2 linked regions of the Danio rerio genome follow. The main gene of each other region encodes a partner of the protein of the gene in region 2 in a complex. Links are inferred from orthologs where the notes say so. Each region holds a gene or a part of one and is shown on either strand. Other genes may lie near its edges.

What was found.
Region 1: the proteins of kif18a (region 2) and kifbp are in contact, whole or in part, in a cryo-EM structure (PDB 7RSI), measured with the Homo sapiens proteins. The link is inferred for Danio rerio from reciprocal best matches to the Homo sapiens genes KIF18A and KIFBP. Residues at the interface, in NP_112494.3 of Homo sapiens: Glu181, Thr183, Gln184, Lys185, Gly186, Arg274, Phe275, Val276, Glu277, Gly278, Thr279, Asn280, Ile281, Arg283, Ser284, Leu285, Leu288, Gly289, Val291, Ile292, Arg314, Lys317, Asp318, Gly322, Asn323; in NP_056449.1 of Homo sapiens: Ser150, Glu151, Tyr212, Tyr213, Gln216, His220, Gln238, Ile251, Asn252, Thr255, Gln258, Asn262, Gly414, Tyr415, Val459, Asp460, Leu461, Asn462, Pro463, Gln464, Leu467.

Annotation. Positions count from the first base shown.
Region 1 is NC_133188.1:26,241,763-26,245,594, forward strand, and holds part of kifbp (KIF-binding protein), read right to left. Parts: intron 2,148-3,832; coding exon of another isoform or gene 2,068-2,147; intron 1,979-2,067; coding exon of another isoform or gene 1,972-1,978; coding exon 1,795-1,971; intron 1-1,794. UniProt on the Homo sapiens protein: Activator of KIF1B plus-end-directed microtubule motor activity. Required for organization of axonal microtubules, and axonal outgrowth and maintenance during peripheral and central nervous system development.
Region 2 is NC_133182.1:32,059,452-32,063,283, forward strand, and holds part of kif18a (kinesin-like protein KIF18A), read right to left. Parts: intron 2,812-3,832; coding exon 2,614-2,811; intron 1-2,613.

The sequences.
Region 1 (3,832 bases), on a different chromosome or scaffold from region 2:
GTATATTCCATTTCAGTCAATTATTGAAGAAGACACCAAGATAATTGTATGAAGTTACCTTGCAGACATTTAAAGCTAGAAGTTTAGAAATAGTTATAGCCCCTTGAGATGATCTCATTTTCGAGGGGGTCCCTAAGAAGTACACAAACGGAACTTAGGTTAAAGCAAGCTAAAGATTTGTATAATATTCAATGATAGGATCTATCTTAATCTAAAAACAAACCTTCATAAAGAGTTGAAGAGTATTTAAAGGTTTTAATTTAACATCAGATGTATTGTTATAAATAATACCAGCATAATCAATAATAGAGAAAATTAATTGAGAAATATTTTTTTTACTTACTTGAAACAAAAAAAAACAATTAATACTACGATAAAGAGAGCCTAAAAGCTGAAATGACTTTTAAATTATTTGATTTAATTAATTTATTTTCAAACTAAAAATATGATACATAAAATATCATTATCAAAAAGAAATACATTTCAACATGGTCGAAAATGGAGCGGGATGAAGCATAAGCTTATTATTCTCCCACCCCATTACCCCATACATCATTCGTTTATTACTTAAACTTATTTATTCTTTTACCTATCTCTTTTTTGTACATGAAACAAATTTGATCCATTTGGCATCTTTGACAAATAATATGTTTGATTCCATTTGTACCTTTTCATTTTGTAACATAGACCCAAAGAAGAAAATAAAGAAAAAAATACATAGTACTGCAAATAGAAAAAATAAACAACAACAACAACAACATAGTATTGCAAATAGCCATTAATTAAAATTATCATACCTTTCTCTTTTTATCCTTTTCAATAACCTTCATCATCATATTCCTTTATTAAGATATATTTATAGTTTTTTTAATTGATTAATATCCTGACGTTGTTTTAGAGTCTGATCTAGACTGTTCCATAGTTTTACACCACGTACAGACATACACAAACTTTTTAAAGTTGTTCTTGTTTTCAACCTCCTAAAATTTAGTTCTCTCAGATTATACCCCCCTTGTCGTTCTTCAAAAAACTTTTGTATACATTTCTGAAGTAGTTTATTCCTAGCTTTAAACATAAATTGTGCTGTTTTAAACTTAACTAAATCATTGAACTTAAGTATCTTTAATTTAAAAAATAAAGGATTTGTATGCTCTAAATACCCGACATGTTCTATTAGTCGAATTACTTTTTTCTGCATTGTACATATGGATCATAAATTAGATTTATATGTATTCTGCCAAATTTCAACACAATAACTCATGTATGGCAACATAAGTGTGTTATATAATATATACATTGATTTATTTTCCATGATAAATCTTGCTTTATACACTATTGCTACAGTTTTTACTAATTTTGATATCACATTATTTATTTGCAGTTTCCATCAAATTTTATAATCCAATACAACACCAAGAAACTTAATTGCATACACTCTTTCTATAACTTCATTATTAATTTGTATTATTGTACTTTTGAATTAAAAAATCGATACGGGATATAAAGGACAGTTCAGTATCGAGCCAATGTCCTAGAAATTTAAATTTGTCAATATTAGAAAACTGTGACCCATCATCAATTCTAATATCATATATCTATGTCTACAAACAGTAAATGTGGTATTTTTGCTTTAATTAATTTACAGTAAGATACATAGATTATACAGGAAATAGTTAACCATGTAAGCATGTTAACAAAACTGATCTGAAGCGAATAAGATACATAAACTCAATGGACCACACAATTGCTAATTACTGTAATACTTCTTTTAATCAACCTGTATATGAATTGTACCTTGGTGATGTAGTACTGTGACAGTGTGGCTGCATTAATGGCCCACTCCAGAGGCGCAAACTGCTTGTACTCCAGCTGTCTCTGTAGGGTGCTGTGACAGTACTGTGCAGCTCTCTCATACTGCTGCAGATTCTTGTACACTTGAGCCAGGTAATACAGCGTGTGCGTATATGCCATTTCAAACCTATTCGGCACATATGGGGAAAACGTGGGGTTAAAATACTCCTGGTTCATAGTCATTTTATTGAGTATATTTAAAGAGAGGGATGTTACCTTCTAATCTTCTCTTGTTGGGATAATTCTTCTCCTTCTGGCACAAAAAAGTCTTGAAGATCCAGGGGTGGTTGACCATCCTAATGTGCATAAAGCAAACAAAACACAAATCTCATATCATTTACTGATACCCATAGAGAGACAAAAATGGCTATTAGTGCCCTGTGATTTTTGTGTTGTAGAAAATTAGGGTAGAATCACAACAATTAAAAGTATTAAATGGAAAAACATTCAATTGTTATAATTGAATTTTTGTTTAAACTAAATCAGGGGTGCCCAAACTTTTTCCTATAAAGGGTCAAAAACAAAACTTGACTGAGGGTTGTGAGCTAAAAATATACCAACCTGTGTTACATTAAACTTGCCAAGGGGAATTGCCTCATTTATTCGATAATATAAACAAAAGATAACGTTGATTCGAATTGTATTTAATATCTAATGCAGCATTGTTTTTAACATTTTATAATAAGCTATTTACAGTAAAAACATAAACATTTCCATTTATAACACAATGGAGCTCAATGTTGAATACACTAGTTGAGCTGCACCTGCCTTTACTTTGATATGCTCGTAGATGTCAGATGTACTGTTTGTCAAGTGACAATATTTACTTTTTAAAAGTCTAATTCATTTACAACATTTAATTGAATCATTTAACTTCAGTTGCGTTTTTTGTAGCTCAGGAATTAAACTAAGAAACAAAAGATTACTTTAAATTTAAATTTCAAAATGACGACATCTGTCAAGGACATTCGCCCCAACCACCAACATTCTCCCTCTCTTTTCAGATGGGATGGCGGGCCGAATCAAAGGTTACCTTGTGCCAACTTTGGGCATCTCTGTACTAAATGATTGTTATTTGGTAAAATAAATATAACAGAATTTAGGGAAAATAATTTTAAAGAGCTATATGGAAAAAAATCTAATTGTGTATTATATTAATATTTAATGAATACATTCACAAATAGACCAAAAAGCTCATGCAGCTACATTCAGCCCATATCGTTGAGTGAATCAGACATTATTATAGAAACCTCTGTAATATGAATTATAAATATGCATGGTAATAAAAGCTATTTTTAAAAATGTAAATGTACTCCAATTTGTGTATCTATGCAAAATTCAGTGCTGTTTACTTTAGTTTTGTTAGAATTAATTGTCACGCCAATAAGAAACGAGCAACTACGGCATATCGATAATTAATTAAAAAAAAAAAGAAAACTGAGTCATGGAATACTGTAAATTCACATAAAATCAATATATTACAAAATATTGTATCTAAAGATACAAACAACATCTTACAGTTTTATTTTTTGTTTTGATTGTGTATATTGCTTTTAATTATTAAAATTATTTCCACATTACCATTTTAATATGACTTACCTTTCTCCTTTATTAAAGGTGTTTAATATAGTGGTTATCAGCTTCAGTCTTAGTAACCACTCAGCACATTTTGTTCAGTTTATAGAGCCAAAGCCACTGGAAAACGTACCTGCCTCCCTTTGCCAAGATCAGCACAATAGCTAAAGCTACTGCTCTGCCATTACTCAGATCTGCAGCAGCTAATCTTCAACATGTCTACCCTTTAAACATAGATTTGATTGATCTATTTATACTACTATTTTTATACCTTCTACTGTTTTGTTAGTCACTAGTAATTTTGTGAAAGAGAAGATATAGTGTATGTCACTTATGATTTCTATATTCTCCGCTAATAGTAACTGACTCTCACAATATCAACGAAAATTCAACAGACGTTAAGCAA
Region 2 (3,832 bases):
ATTATTTTCCCCCCATATCGCACAGCTCTAGTACAAATGTTATTACAACATAATGCAATAATACATTATATTTTTATCATTAAGATGTCTAAAGTACCACATTATTTTTTAAAGGTTCCATGAAATTAAAATAAAGTTTTTTAGATGTTAGTATCAGAGTAGTTAGTTTTAAGATATCTATAAGCTTGTGTACTTTAAAACAGTGACAAAATTCCCATTTAGAAAATATCAAACTGATAGAAACATGTAAAGCTTGTAGTTTGTCACTTCCAACTAAAGGGATCAACAGTTTATTCACGCCATCTCAAACTTCAGTTTCTCATCAAATCATAACCAATCAAATGCTCCCTACTAGAACTTGACATGCCCCACCCCCTTCAAAATTATTCTTATTTGCTTTTTATTTAATCACATGAGCTAAACCACTCTTACTGGCAGAGTGGTGATGAAACAAAATGCTATTGGCTGTTTTTTAAAAGGGGAGGGGCTACATGTCCCACCCACTATACGTGTTTCGATTAAGATTACGTCAACAATCAAATAAAAATGCATATTTTAAAACACTTTGAACACCTTTAAAAATATTTTGCCACAAGATTTTAAAAAACAAACATTTTTAAACTACAGATGTATTTATTTACTAAACTTTATTTACAGTGTGAATGTGTGATATGAGAAAAAATGACTTACAATTTGATAGCCATGTCTGTATTAAAAATGTTAATCTCAAAACGAACTAAAAACATTTCCTGAATGTTTCCTTGAGAAGGTTCACTATTCAGCTGAACTAAGCTCGTGAAAGACATTTATAGCAAAGAAATTAAACACATCAGCTTCTATTCAATCTTTTTCATAGCCAATGAATGTAAAAAAAGCATAATATGCCAGGGTTTAAGGACTACGCAGTAGCAAATTCCCACCTAACACTCAATAATAATTAAATAATGTTTATAATGACTCGTGGGGTGAAACAAATGCTGCAAGGCAGATTTACCAACCATTTTGAATGAATTCATTCTACATCAGTCACGGCATAATAGGATTGGGTGGCAAATTACCCTCAAACAGGCTCACAGACAAAAAATCTGGATACAATTCCACACAGCGTCTCTGGTGGAGGCATACTGGAATCAGCACAAGACACACACACACACACAAGGCAGCCCTGAGGAGAGGGGTAAGTGTACACAACAGAGTCTGGGTTGTAGGTCTCCCAATCTGATAGCATCAGTCCCTGAACCACAGAGCCTTTGGGTGTTTCCCAAAAGCAAAGAAGAGATGGAAAGGCTAATACCTTAAGAGCAAATGTGCCACAACACCGTATACAGCAAGCTGACCCCGGCTGGCTAAAGACCAAAAAAGGCTAAAGTAAAGATAAGTAATGCTGATAGACTAAATTCATTGGTTTAAATCATAGCAAGATGCAGGTAATTGCTTTTGTGGCAGGCCCACACAGAATTTGTGTACCTATTGTATGCATTTAACCCAGTGTTAAATGAAGCTAAAAATACTTCATTCTTTTATAAACTAATGGATAGAATGGAAAGCAACTGATAGTATTAGCGAACAAACTACATCATCGTTAAGTCTTAAACATATGCTGCCAGCCTGCCACAATAAAAACTTTGTAGCGGTACAAACCTAAACACCAAACTGGAAAGGGGCTCTGAGAAACAGTGCAAAACTAAGCACAAGACACCATATAAGTCTTTTAGCATGCAATAGCAAACATATTAAAGGTTATAAGCACAGACAGAGGTTGCAATGTTAATCATTACAATGTTTTATATTTCCAATAATGTGTGCTTTTTTTCAATTTTAGCAATTGAAGCAGGATCAAAATAACTTTCCTATGAATTTATTTATATTGACCTTATTCTAAAATGCGGAAGTGCGCCTGTTTTCGCGATTGTCTTAGAACTTCCGATTCAGTCGCCTATGGTAGAAATGACTAGGAATAATAAACGGCAGAAAATGGCCAAACTACTTCCTCAACAAACAAATGTTTGCATGACTACACAGACCAAGTAGCATAATATAATAAGAAAATATTAAATTGCAACATCAAGCAGCGTAACGAGCAGTTGTTAACGTCAAAAAATGAATGGAAGTGAATGTGACCGGAAATCGCGAGACAAAAAGATTCAAATGGCAGCGCCCGCTCGTCAGCTGACAATAAGGTGAATATACAGAGGCTCAATTTTTATATTAGATTAGGAAAACTAAGATAATGACACATGGGGACAATAGAGTTGTGTTTGGGCTATAGCCTAATAGAATACTTATTGTAAGATGATTCATCACTCCATTACATTTGTCGCTCATATGATAATTGTTGTTTTAACAATGTGCAAGTATGTCTCACTTTGCAAAAAAACAAACCAAACAACACTTAAACACCATGCAAAGACATTTATTCCCAGCTAATGAACAATAAAAAAAATTCACGACCAATCGGATCATTCCACTTAAATCTAAAGAGCTTGAGCAAATAACACTTTTAAAGCAAACTGCAAATAATACTAGCAACTCGTTTACGTGTGAAATTATAAAACATTTCTTTTCAACAAGATCTGGGTAATCCCTTAAACTTAACAGAAGGTGTAGACCTACTTTGGGGTTGGCGAGCGTGTTGATGACATTCCCCAGAGCAAGGAGCGAGCGGTTGATGTTGGCCCCTTCTCTGAGACGAGCCCCCTTGGTGTTGGTCGCACTGGCCCTTTCTGATCCGGCCAGGTCGATTAAGCTCATCTTGGCCACCCGAACATTTGGATTAAGACTGGCTGTCTTATCCTGTTGCCTTAAGTAGATCTAAAGAAAGAAAACAAAGATGGAGTAAGAACATTTCAGTCAGATTGAATATTAATATTTCGTCCTGACTACTTTGTAAGCCAGCTGACACTGGTTTGAACTGCTCAGTTAAAGAGATCGATCTCTCAAAAGGATAAATCCTGTCATCCTCCACTTGTTCCAAAAAAAGATTTCTTTCTTCTGTTAACACATAGGAAGATATTTTGAAGAATGTTTAAAACCAGAAGCCATTTCCCTCCATTTTATGTATTTTACACTACTGTGGGTGTCAGTGGTTACTGGGTTCCAATATTTTCATTGGTGTTCAGTAAGAAAAGAAGTAAAAATAATTCTGAAAAAAAAAGAAAAAAAAAAAAACATTTTTTTTCTTTAAAATATTTAATAAAAATATTTCTAGTTTATAACATTTGATCAAATGTATACTTAATAAATTTTAATATTTTAGAGTCTAGGGGCTCTATTTTGACGGTCCATGCGCAGAGCGCAAATGCTTTCAGGGCGGGTCAGAACGCATTTTTGCTAATTTGAGGACAGGAAAATCTGCTTTGCGCTGTGGCGCATGGTCTAAAAGGGTTGAGTTTATTTTCTTAAGTTAAAATAAAACTATTTCTAAATTCAGTTCTAATTTTCAGCAAACAAATAAATGAACAATAATAACAAAATGTGCTCAAAAACCTGAGTTATATCCTAAAACACATGCTGTGCCCCATATGGTCTAAAACCTGACAGGTGGGCAAATCTAAGCTTGTTTTTAATAAAACAAATATAAATATGGATATATTAAATAATACTGCTAATAATAATAACATTATACAAAAGCAAATTGTTATGAATGAACTGAAAAAGCCTCTCAAGATGAAGAAGACATAAAAGCAGTGATTTTTCATATTTATGTAGGCTAGAAAATAATATGTTTGTAATATTTTAATCCTTTATATTTATATCCTATATCTATTCTTATTATATCCTATATATATATATTTTTAAATATTTTAAATATTAAGGATATATATATATATAT